Linked DNA regions of Arabidopsis thaliana. The protein of the gene in region 2 interacts with the protein of the main gene of each other region in a biochemical or structural test. Each region holds a gene or a part of one and is shown on either strand. Other genes may lie near its edges.

The links.
Region 1: the proteins of FHL (region 2) and AT2G37680 form a complex in vitro, tested with the Arabidopsis thaliana proteins (one study listed by BioGRID).
Region 3: the proteins of FHL (region 2) and LAF1 form a complex in vitro, tested with the Arabidopsis thaliana proteins (one study listed by BioGRID).

The regions. Positions count from the first base shown.
Region 1 is NC_003071.7:15,802,713-15,807,676, reverse strand, and holds AT2G37680 (glucose-induced degradation-like protein), read left to right. Parts: upstream 1-2,003; 5' UTR 2,004-2,074; coding exon 2,075-2,207; intron 2,208-2,306; coding exon 2,307-2,365; intron 2,366-3,215; coding exon 3,216-3,359; intron 3,360-3,451; coding exon 3,452-3,525; intron 3,526-3,610; coding exon 3,611-3,665; intron 3,666-3,737; coding exon 3,738-3,800; intron 3,801-3,896; coding exon 3,897-4,024; intron 4,025-4,098; coding exon 4,099-4,177; 3' UTR 4,178-4,434; downstream 4,435-4,964. Other genes in the region: AT2G37690 (phosphoribosylaminoimidazole carboxylase, putative / AIR carboxylase), read right to left, coding at 101-239, 344-406, 501-612, 708-929, 1,337-1,566.
Region 2 is NC_003076.8:435,524-439,543, reverse strand, and holds FHL (far-red-elongated hypocotyl1-like protein), read right to left. Parts: upstream 2,180-4,020; 5' UTR 2,025-2,179; coding exon 1,981-2,024; exon of another isoform or gene 1,340-1,980; coding exon 852-1,339; intron 766-851; coding exon 692-765; 3' UTR 525-691; downstream 1-524. Other genes in the region: AT5G02210 (GCK domain-containing protein), read left to right, coding at 1-291; PCS1 (Eukaryotic aspartyl protease family protein), read right to left, coding at 2,861-4,020. UniProt on the Arabidopsis thaliana protein: Can activate transcription. Essential for light-regulated PHYA nuclear accumulation and subsequent PHYA phototropic signaling processes. PHYA-specific signal transducer in response to continuous FR lights.
Region 3 is NC_003075.7:13,050,902-13,054,262, forward strand, and holds LAF1 (myb domain protein 18), read left to right. Parts: upstream 1-1,601; 5' UTR 1,602-1,653; coding exon 1,654-1,780; intron 1,781-1,826; exon of another isoform or gene 1,827-1,867; coding exon 1,868-1,997; intron 1,998-2,077; coding exon 2,078-2,672; 3' UTR 2,673-2,841; downstream 2,842-3,361. Other genes in the region: ACYB-2 (Cytochrome b561/ferric reductase transmembrane protein family), read right to left, coding at 2,986-3,312. UniProt on the Arabidopsis thaliana protein: Transcription factor that promotes photomorphogenesis in the light by participating in the transmission of phytochrome A (phyA) signals to downstream responses. Probably acts by activating expression of light-induced genes.

The DNA.
Region 1 (4,964 bases), on a different chromosome or scaffold from region 2:
TTTTGTTTTCTCGTTGACTGTGGCATTGTACACGATTAACTGGTTTAACTGTTACTAGAAACTATGAAACCAAATTAAATATGGTTAGTTAAGGGTTTACCCGTTACAGCAGAAGAAAGCTCATCTTGGTTGTTGGCAACTGCATTTCCACGTCCATCATAAGCCAATCGTTTGCTCTTGATCATAAGAGGGTAACCGAAAAGTTCACCTGCTTTTCTTGCTCCTTCAATATCGCTTATCTGATGTGGTGAGGTTTAGGGGTAAAAACAATTAACAAACTCCTCATGATTCATGGAGAACTTAATGAGTGATTCTTTCAACAAAGTATAAACAAGGGCCTAACCTCCATAAATTCTGGAAGTGGGATGCCATGCTGAGAGAAATGAACCTTTTGCATGTATTTATCCTGGAACATCAAACTGCCACATATAAATAAAATTGCTGAAAAACTTTGACTATACATAACTCCATTTGATGAAATATTTGAGAGGTTATGAAACCTGTATTATCCTAATAGTAGAAGCTTTGGGTTGGCAATCCACTCCTTGTTTCTCAAGCTTCTCTAGTGTGTCCACGTCAACATGTTCAATTTCTACAGTTAAGACTCCACATCTAACTACGACAATAAACAAAAATAACCATAAATATTGTAATGAAAATAAGAATTGAGAACCTGAAGCATTCAAGAAACAAACAAAAGAAGAGACCTTTTTGCAAATTCTTCTACTGTAGCACTGTCGTCAAAGCTATCAACCATGTGACCGTAGGACAATGCACTTGCTGAACAATTTTTAGAAGGATCTAAAATCATCACTTTGATAGCCAACTGAGAAGCAGCTTGGCAAAGCATACGACCCAATTGTCCACCCCCAAGAACTCCCACAATTTTCTCAGAAACTCCATGGACATGTTTATTCTCGCGATTCTCACTTGCAAAGAGGAAAGATAAATAACATTAGAAATTCCTTCCCCAGTCTTACTATTTTCAAATCTTTGTGTCTAGTAACAGAGAAACGAGCAGGGAAGCACAGCTAGTTTCTATATTTTATTCGTCATTGCAATTGGTGTGATGCAATCTTAACCACAACAGCTATGCAACTTCTCATGTCCATGAAACTTACAAGAAAAGAGAAATTTTTCTTCATTTTCACAGATTAATATATGCAGGCTTAATTGATATGTGGTTTAAATACAACGACTTTCACCTTTCAGCTTAATTGATCCAATCTCGTTTATCTTTTAACACACCACAATAGCCAAGAAAATAATAAGAATCGAGAAAATACTTAAGAAGAATGGTTGACACCATTATACTCAATACAGGGGACATAGGTACCTGATAGGAGAAGCATCGTGAGAGCTACAGGGCACAGCTGAAGCCGTATTCAATTTCCCAGACGAAGAAGTGGGAAGCTTCTGCAAATTTGCCATAGTCAAACTCTGGAACGACTGCGTTCTGGTCACTGGAAAAGGTCCAACTCTGTAGGTGGAGCGAGAAGTGTGAAGGACTGGAGTTGTATTTCCAACGACAAGAACAGCAGCTGAGCTTTGTTTCAAAAGCAACATCTAGAATGCTATACAAAACGGAATACTTTTAGCACCGTTTTATAAATATGCAATCAAGTAACATGAAAAAGTATGGTAGACCACAATAGAGAATGAACTCAAGCAAAACCCAAGTCAACGTCAATAGCTAAACCAATGAAAACGACGTAAGAAGCTCATGTGAATGGATTCAAGTAACATTCTTAGAGTCAATAGCTAAACTAATAAAGCCGCAGCTTCAACTTGAGAGGAAGGCAAACCTGGGTGAGAGAAGCAGCTAGACAGAGAGAGAAGTCGGAAAGTCAGGTCCAAAGGTTAGATTTTTATAAAGCAAGTTCGATAATAGAGGTGGAAAAAAGCTTCTTCCGGATTTGGAGGCGGCGGCGAGGAGAGAGAAGATCGGTCTGACGGGGAGAGAAGAAAAGGTTTTTGAGAGGTTTTATACAAAACGCAGTCGAAAACCGGAGAAGCCTAATCCGTTTTATGTATAATTTGATTCGGTTAAGAAAACCGAACCGGGTATGATGAGATGTGGTTTTTGATTAGGCTCCACGATTTGATTTGGTCGCACCAAAGATCGGATTTTTATCAGACGGAAAGGAGGAGACGGAAGAAAATGCCGGTGAGAGTTGTTGAGAGCAACACGCCTGCTCAAGTTTCAGGTTTTTGATCGCTTCTTCAAGTTTTGAATTTAGGTTTGTTTGTTTATGTTCCCTCTTTGTGGCTCTCTCGCTCATTTGTTGAGATTTGTTGCCATTTAGGAACTGATCCTGGGAATCGATCACCACTTCCCCCTAGTTCACTTCTCGGCGCTGGCCAGGTACAACGATTAATGAATTAACAAAACATGTTATTTTGCAGAAATTTATTTCTAGGATTCGTATGATACTTGGATTTTTACAAGTTTTTCTCTCAAGTGTCTGACCATAGAGGTCTTGGGAATATTGGTTAGGACTAGAAAGAACTTTATTAGTTATGCTTGTGCATCTGTGGTTATGTATGCACACTCTTTTTATGAACATAACCTTATGTGTAAGCAGAATCTGAGTATACCTATAAAGACATTATCTTAGGGGTTTTTATGTGTAAAGGTGAATTTTCTCTCAAACTTGACAAGTTCTTACTTATGAATACTTGAAATCACAAGAATAGCTAATTTTTTTATTGTTGATTCTGTCGATTGGCTGTGGTAGTTATAGAAGAAACTTTGCTTCACAAGGGTTTGCTAGTATACTTTATGTGAAATTTGTGAGAGAGAGGCTATGGTAAGATGAGAAGGAAAGTTATAAGTTTCCATGATGTTTAGCTACTTAGGTTAGCATAAAAGAACTTAAAGATCTCGTGTCTCGTTGTTCAGGCACAAAGCATCATTCATAGGCAGGCAACAAACATCATGGGTCTAGTTACTTTCTTCCCATTAGATCTGCAACTTGTTCAAGTGTTCTGGTTGCATAACGATTCTCTAGTAATGCTGATTTTTGTTATACCAATTAGAAGTTGGCCTTGTCTGCTTTGATTGGCTTCATATCTTTTTCATGTTGACATGTATGCTTAATTCAAGTGCATTTGTATCTAGTTGGGATTGTATAACATTCATTGGCTCAAAGAGATTGTTTATTCATAATGAACCTAAAGATGAGGAACACACATGTTTTTATGCTGTGCTGCAGGCATTTTCTGGTACGCAAAATGTCTCTAATCAACAGAAGGAGGAAGCTTGGAGAGTCAACGTCCAGATACAGGGTATTGACCTTGAACATGGTTATCTTTGTGGCACCATGGAAGCTCTAAACGTTCCCATGGCAGACACTCCTGTAAGCCCTTACACTCTTACTCATTTTTTCTTCATATTGCTTCCCCTTGAATTTCTAATAGGGGACACGATTCTTGATTCTGTGAGTGTCAGGTCATAACATTCTGGGAAGGGGAAATCGTTGATGGAAAGAATTATACCTTTTACACCGGAAAATGGGAAGCAACGTATGTCCCAATTCCTATATTCTTGTAGATTTGAAACTGATGATTTCTTATCGTGAATAAATTTTTGAAAGTTTGTTTGTCACAGGAGGGAAGATGATATGAGACATTGGTCAAAGTTCCCGTCTTTTTCGCCTCTTCAGGTAACACTCGAGTAACATTGTTTGTATAGTCAGTAACATCTCCTAAGCAACGTTCTGGACTTAATACTGCAGGGACAAGTTGAATCTGATGGTGGCAGGCAATTGGATCTTAACAATTATCCTTATATATTTATGGTATAACTCTCAGTTTTTCCTATCGAATCCAATCATCATTTTCTCTCAAGTATTCCATAATTCCTGCAACTCGGGTTTATTTTTGTGGTGGTGCAGAGATGGAAAGAGCAATACTTTGTAAACGTTGGCACAGATTGTGGACTAACAATAGCTGGATTTTACTACGTATGCTTCTCCTGCAGCGATGGTTCCATCAGCGGTTTCTATTATGATCCAAACAGCAGGTTAGTCCAAGATACAAACTATATAATCTGTTGTTGTTTGAGATAAAACCTGATGATATTTTGTTTCTGGACAGTCCGTTTCAGAAGCTGGAGCTGAAAACAGTTAACGAAGGAAGATCTGGTTTCAGCTTTTCTTCTTACGAGTTGCAATGATGAATGCTACCAAAATCATCAGACAGCGCCATATGATACTCTCGTCTAAACATGCGATGCACGTGATCCAGTACATTATGACGTGTCAATTATTATAAATTATTAGTAAGATATTTTTTTGCTTAGCTAGTAGACCAGACCAAGTAAAGAACTAAAAATACTATTTTGTCATTATGGTACCAAGCTAATAGTTTATCTGGAAAAAGAACAAATTGTCCAAAAAAATAATTACCAAATAGTTGAGAAGTTTTTCTAAAAATTTTTGTAAAAAAAATCCAAATTCTTCTAAAATTAAGTTTTTAATAGAAATTTAAAAAGACAGTTCTACATCATATTATTTTCTTTAAATAATGATATAAAATTTATAAACTATTATCTTTGTAAGATAATGAATATTTATACCTATGTAAGGGAAAAATTGATAAATATTTATACATCCTCATCCAAAAGCCCATAAAATCGTTATGGGACAATAGTAAAAAAGATTGCAAAATCGTATGGAGCGAAAGATAAAAATAAAAAACGGTCCCGTGTAAGAAGATGGGTCACCTCGCCAACACGTAGACTCTTTTCACGCGCCAAATCAAACACCATGTCGACGAGATCAACGGATTCAAATGTTTCGTGTAATACACGCTCCAACGTAGCGCGTCGTACACTTGATGCTTAATTTATGTATTTTAAGTTACGCAGTTTCCAGATTTTCAGACCCTCTGAAAGTGGAAAGAGCATTTTTTAAAAGAGTAATAAGAAAAACAATTATCTTTGAACTCTCTCTATCTCTCTC
Region 2 (4,020 bases):
ACTGTTTCCCTAGACGAAATAAACGAAGAGGAAGATCAGAAGTTTGTAGAATTCATGAAAGGAGGTGGTTGCAAAGAATCATTTACGGCTTGGAATGATGATTGCAATTTCACTGAGGAGGAAGCTGAGAAGAACAAAGATTTGGTTACTAAGTGTGCGGGACTCTTTGGGACGTTTTCCAAGTGTATGGATACTCACTCTGATTACTATCATCCGATTCTCGCAGTGAAGAAAACTACCGAAGAACATTTGGAGAAAGAGCTCGCAACTTTCTTCTTGGAAGAAAGCTAAGAGATATGATTTTGGAGGATTTTGTTTTTTTAATGCTTTTTTATTCTGAATCAATAATCTTTCCTTTTGTTTTTTATGATTCTAGAGATAATTTGCTTTCAATGTTTTTACTATGTTTATGCCCATCAATGTTTCACTATAAACCTTACCGGATCAGCATTGGACAAGTAGTTAAGGGAAATGATCATTGTGAATAGTTTCAGCATTTGTGTCTAAGACTACTATATAGTAGTATTGAAGGTGAGATCCATGGATCATTTGTCTGCAACATCGGGAACATGTAAAAGGTTTGTTCTGATCTGGTTTTATATATGTTTCTATTCAAAAACAAGGTGAAATATTTATATAAACATTGCAGTGATTAGTGATATTGATAAATATGTAGATAGATTCTTGTTGTTTACATCATGAGTGTAGAAAAGTACTGCTCAAACTCTTGATCAATGGTTGGTTTCGTGGTAGCTTCTTTGGAATCTGCAATCCAAATGGTGAAAGAATAATCACAAATAATTCCCATACACAATGCGTGACACTAAAGCATTTAGCTTTTCATTGATTACCTTGGTTGCTGACACTCCACCTTGCAGAAGAAAGAATATAAGACTCAACTGGATTCAGAACCTCTTGAAGATCTTCGACCGCAAATTCGGAGTCGTGATAAATGAATTCCATGTGAGTAAAGTCTTGGGTATCTTCTTGTGTTTTGTGATCAACTTTGGAAAAGCATTGTTCTATGCTTGATGTAGCAGCATAACCAGAACTAGAACTTCCGGTTGAATAAATAGAGTCTTTAAACATGTACAAAGAAGGGCCTGTAAAAGATGCAGAAGAGGAGGCTTCATCGCTGGTTTTTGTGTTCTCCATGGCATAAGAGCATTCTGCATAATCTATAACTGATGATGGACATGAAGAATTAACAAGAGAGGCTTGATGCTCAGAACAAAAGTGTTTTGGTAAGGGTAACAAGTCTGATTCTTCAGCATGCAGTTTTCTCTTTTTGCTTGTGTCTAGAGATTCCACAGCAACTATCATCGGATCGTTGATATCGCTGAAATCATATATGGTTAATCTAGTGAAAGGTCATGAATTGACTTATTTTCCATGAGACAAAAAGAGGTAAAGGATAAATAGAAGACTAACACTCAGCTTATACCATAAAGGGACATATCCATAATTACAAGTAACTATCCATAAAGTATTCACACCAGTCAACAAAAGACTTAACATTTTTCATTGATACCACACTGAGATAAAGAGAAAGTATCATAAATCTTGTTAGTCCACAATCTAAATCCACAAGTAAAATTTGTCCATAGTAAAGATAAGATCCAAGTGTTGAGTATCTCTTAAGTCATCATCAACAAGTTGCCGTAGAAATACAAATCCTAAACACTACACACAAACACACACTTCACCTTAAAACATAGTGAGGAAAACCAGCAAACATCTAAGGACACAATACTATGTAGCTCAGGAAGTTTAAGATTTAAAGAAGATGAAAACTTGCGGGAAACGTACAAAGCAGAACGAAAGAGAGTAATTCGAGCAGAGAAACTTGGGTTGATTTTGCAGATTCAAGATACAAGTTTTGAGATCAAGTTTTAAATCTTTACATAGAGTTGTTTTGTATAAAACATAGAAGGAAAAATAAGTAAAAAGAAGATATTATGTTTTGTTGAAAAGAAAAACCTATGATCCAGCGATGGGCTACAACTCTTATCTGCATCATCCATGATCTTAGAAGATTAATTTTCTTCCTCCAGATATTAGTTTTGTTGTTGGAGATGAAGTGTGATTAAGATCTCTACTCTCTAGTGTCCGAATATTCTTTCATTAAAAAAGTTCAAATGTTCGGTATAGAAGGAAAGGAGAAAAGCAAATCCGCGTTCTCAACCAGAGGCGACTGCAAATCACGGCCATGACCTGGCGAGAAACCGTTGGCCCATGACAGAGGCCGCACGTGCAACGGCGCGTGAACTAAAGAAAAAGACAGTAAACCGCGTTATGTTCCCACGTGGGAGTGAGACTATTGTGGGCCCTGACGTTTCAAATTATTAACTCGTCAGCAACTTGAACCTGTTTGATGCCCAAATCTTGGTTATTATGGGCTTTTTTAGTGAAATTAATTTGGGCCTCTTTAAACACACGATCGCCCAAAAAGAATCCATGTCGTTGTAACTAGAGGGATCCGTTAAAGGATCAAATCTACATATACACTTTTGCGATTGACATAGGTCAAAACAAGTTTGTTTTTTCGCGATTTTTAACATTAACTTTTGTAACTTTATTTTGAATAACGAAAAAAAACATAGTGCGATTCAAAAGTCCAAAACTGATGACGATTAAAGATTTTGTGATATAACTCTCAGCTAAAAATTAATTACGCAAAGAAAAGACCATGTCAAAAGCAAACAGAGACAACTAACTAACTACTACCAAACTCGAAGTTATTACACACCCGCTCGTGTCCGTAACACAAATCTCATTGTAGTCACGTGCATACCTTTCTACTAGAGAAACCATTTCTACGTAGGCAAAAAACTATAATTACACACTGGTTATCTATGGTTTACGATCCGATTCCGAGTCTCTGACCCGATACATCACATTCTACCGGAGCTAAACCGATTCTTGATCTTTGTAGATCAAATTCGATCCACATGTTCTGCTGATGATGATGTCCAATCACGTAAGCCTCCATTCCCATAAGGTCGGAGTTTCCAAATGTGAAACAATAAACCGAATCGTTTCCAACCGTGAGATGCGGGACTCGGTACAATAGCGGCTGACCCGAAACCGCTATCTCGGCTCCTTCGAAAACCAGAGAAACTGTTGGTAAACGGTGGAGAATTCCGGACCGTATACGAACCGGTGAAATCCGATAACACAAATCCATGGTTCCTTGGAAAACAAAATCTGGGTCTTCGTAAACCGTTAAGATTCCGTTTGTCCGGTTTAAGAAATGGGATCGAAGTGCGGTGTAAACCGGTCCAAGCAGGAAAGTAAACTGAGTACCGGAATCAACCATGGTTTGACCAGCACCGGTATGATCCGGTACGAGAACCGATTTAGGGATGGGTAAAAGCTTACCGTTAACTTTAATACCCGTGAGCTGGACGGTGTAAGCTACACGGTCGAAGTAAGGTAACGGCGTAGAGATACGAATTAACGGCGTGTAATTTAACGGCGTTAACCACGTGAAGTTAGAGTCGCCGAGGAGAAGAAACCCCGGGAAGTCGTCGGTGCCGGAGATGCAATAAGAGAATTTGGGGAAACCCATTTGAGAGATAAAAGAGAGGGAACCACGGTTCATACCCAATAACCCAGTTGTTTTGGTATCTTCTTCCGGGTCGGATCCGGATACGGAACCCATACACCCGAAAATGAGATTGGAGTCGTTGGTGGAGTTTCCGAAGTGGAAAATCTCGGCGGCGAGGTTACCTTCGGAGGAGGAAGCGTCGGCGTAGGATAGAGTTGCGTGGCAGAGTTTGTCTGAATCGCAAGAAGCGGGTATGAGGAAGTCTCGGGTCCGGGTACGACAAGTGGGTGAGGAACAGGGGATTGGGGAATAAGAGGAGGAACGGGTCGGGTCAAAATTGTTAACCGGGTTTGGGTTTGAGGAACGGTTGCAACGAAGCCAGGAGAGTTCACTGCCAGTGTCAATGACCATGGAGATGTTTTGAGGAGGAGTACCGACGGTGAGAGTAACGGTGAGAGTGACGTTGTGGT
Region 3 (3,361 bases), on a different chromosome or scaffold from region 2:
AACCTATCAGATGGGTAAGTTACTTAGGTACGGTAGAGAGCTGTAGCTACCGGATTAGAGATGGGGTTTTCCAATGATGCGAGTTGGGTTTTTTGCATTATAGACTTGTTGGCTTTTATGTAGAACCGGTTCAAAGTGTCAGCACAAAAAACAAAGATTATTGTATCTCATTTTTAAAAGCATTTGTCATTGTTTGACTAACGCCTGTCTTCTCTAACCGTAAAACATGTGTTTCATTCAATGTTGAATGATGTTTTTATTTTGGTGCATAAAACTAAGCCATGTTTAACCTTCTTTGTCAACATATTTCATAAAGTTTTATCAACATACCACAAGGCCTAATGGTCGAAGGAGGAGAAGTTTTGTTGTAGACGAACAATCTAAAGTATCCTAGTTATCATAACATTAGATGTATAAAATTTATTCTCCGAGGGCTAAGGATTAAGTCATCATAACATTAGATGTATAAAATTTATTAGTCGTGTTTCATTGGGGATTAGTTTGACGGCAAATTATATTATGTTATCAAGACGACCAAGACAAGGTAGACACTTTTTTATTGTTTCCCTCTCAATTTTCTTTACTCGTCATTTTCCACAGGCCAAAAGAGCCAACAAGTAAAAAACAAAATCAGAGTATTTTTAAAATTGGGACAGGCCATTTCGATCGGGACAGAAGGAATTCAAATTGTTGAAATTCACAATATTCCTCAAATAACTCTTATTATTGGTCCACTTGTCAGTGTGAATGTAAGAAAAACATCGTGAGAGGAAAAAATATGAAATAATTACTAGCAGCAAATAGGAGCTCAATGTTGACTTCACTACAAAATTTTATAATTAAGAGAAAAAGAGCTCTCAAATCATATAATAATTATTTCAAGTACTTGTATTAGCAAATGCAATTTGTCTGCTTGCTAATGATGCTTTACGAAAAGATTAACAGATTGGATGATTCTCTATAATCATTACTTCATTATTCACAATCATTGGATTGAATCAGACAGATTATTCCACCCGGATGATCGTTTCTAACCAAAAAACTCATTGACGCGATTTAAACATAAATTAAAGAAGTCGTTAATATAAAATTCTTGCCGACATTTTAGAGATTTTTGGATATGAAGATGTTATCTGATTAGTGTGTAAATTCTTAAGGCATCGTCCATTATAAATGAAGTAAATATAAGGAAAACAAACAATAAGAAAACAAAGTGAAAGAACAAAAACAAGCAAAGATTCTTCTTTTTTTTTTTTTTTATAGGTAGGAATCTCAAATCTTATATATACTGAAAATTGCTAATTTATTTTAAGTTGGAACATTATATCAATAATTTAAATTTATCCAAGCAGACTTTTGACACCTAATTAATCCTTACATATTCCATTATGACTTTTCTCCTCACTGCTTATACAAATGCATACAGTATACTCATAAGAAATTAACACATAAATTATATCCCAAATTTTCATAAAAATAGAAATATATATGTCATTTGTCATTTACTCTAAGCAGGCCCATTTGGTCATTTCTTAACACCAAGTATGTAGGCTCTATCTGTGGACGTTTGGTGATATATATGTTGTCTCAATCACCATATATAGTATTGAGACATGTTTTCTTGTATCAGGACAGACAGCTGACTAAAGAGAAATGGCGAAGACGAAATATGGAGAGAGACATAGGAAAGGGTTATGGTCACCTGAAGAAGACGAGAAGCTAAGGAGCTTCATCCTCTCTTATGGCCATTCTTGCTGGACCACTGTTCCCATCAAAGCTGGTCTCTCTTTCATCTTCTTCTTTATTAGTTTTTAGTTTCTCAAACTGAGTCAACTTTGATAATTGTTGTTGGGATTTAATTTGATAGGGTTACAAAGGAATGGGAAGAGCTGCAGATTAAGATGGATTAATTACCTAAGACCAGGGTTAAAGAGGGATATGATTAGTGCAGAAGAAGAAGAGACTATCTTGACGTTTCATTCTTCCTTGGGTAACAAGTAAGTGTATCTCTAAGACCTAACCCTATTGTTTTAGCAGATGCTAGTTATAGAGAGACTAATGATTTAGGTGTAATTAGGTGGTCGCAAATAGCTAAATTCTTACCGGGAAGAACAGACAATGAGATAAAGAACTATTGGCACTCTCATTTGAAAAAGAAATGGCTCAAGTCTCAGAGCTTACAAGATGCAAAATCTATTTCCCCTCCTTCGTCTTCATCATCATCACTTGTTGCTTGTGGAAAAAGAAATCCGGAAACCTTGATCTCGAATCACGTGTTCTCCTTCCAGAGACTTCTAGAGAACAAATCTTCATCTCCCTCACAAGAAAGCAACGGAAATAACAGCCATCAATGTTCTTCTGCTCCTGAGATTCCAAGGCTTTTCTTCTCTGAATGGCTTTCTTCTTCATATCCCCACACCGATTATTCCTCTGAGTTTACCGACTCTAAGCACAGTCAAGCTCCAAATGTCGAAGAGACTCTCTCAGCTTATGAAGAAATGGGTGATGTTGATCAGTTCCATTACAACGAAATGATGATCAACAACAGCAACTGGACTCTTAACGACATTGTGTTTGGTTCCAAATGTAAGAAGCAGGAGCATCATATTTATAGAGAGGCTTCAGATTGTAATTCTTCTGCTGAATTCTTTTCTCCATCAACAACGACGTAAATTGCGTTTATTGTAATGTAAATCAAATTTCTAAGGCAAAACCGGAAAAAAAATGTTTTGTTTTTTGTTTTGTCTTAAATGCTTTGACACCAATAAGGCAAATAGCATATATGGTTAAAGGAATGGCAATATGAAAGAAAAGAAAAGAAAAGAAAATGATTTAAAAGATTCATCAATATCATTGAAGATTTTACACACCAGAAGTAGCAAAGCCGTAACACACAAAGCTTTTCGCTACAAATGCATCATACATAAATGGAGTTTTGAGAGTACAAGGGGCGATACAGATGTAACGTGGAATGTAGAAAGTGTTTTATATAGCAGAATAACTGAAGTCAACACTATCATCATTGGAGACGGAAGGAGAAGGAGAAGGAGACTCAGCAGAAGCAGTGAGTACCACAAAGGCACCAAAGAGAATAGTGATAATGGCCGTGAAGTTGATAAGAAATGCTTCGGATCCATACTTGTCAAGCCCTCCATTCTCCAAGAAAGTCAGCTTTTCCAGAAACCCTAAAGCTGCATTCCCGACAGCAAGTATGTAAACAAACAGGCCAAGCATTGCGTGCCACGGAAGCAATCCGCTTTTCAAATTTGTTGATCCTCCTGGGAAGAAGAACACTATGAAGCTGTACACCCACTGTAAAGTTCAAAACTCTTGTTCTGGTCAGGAACAATATACAACAATA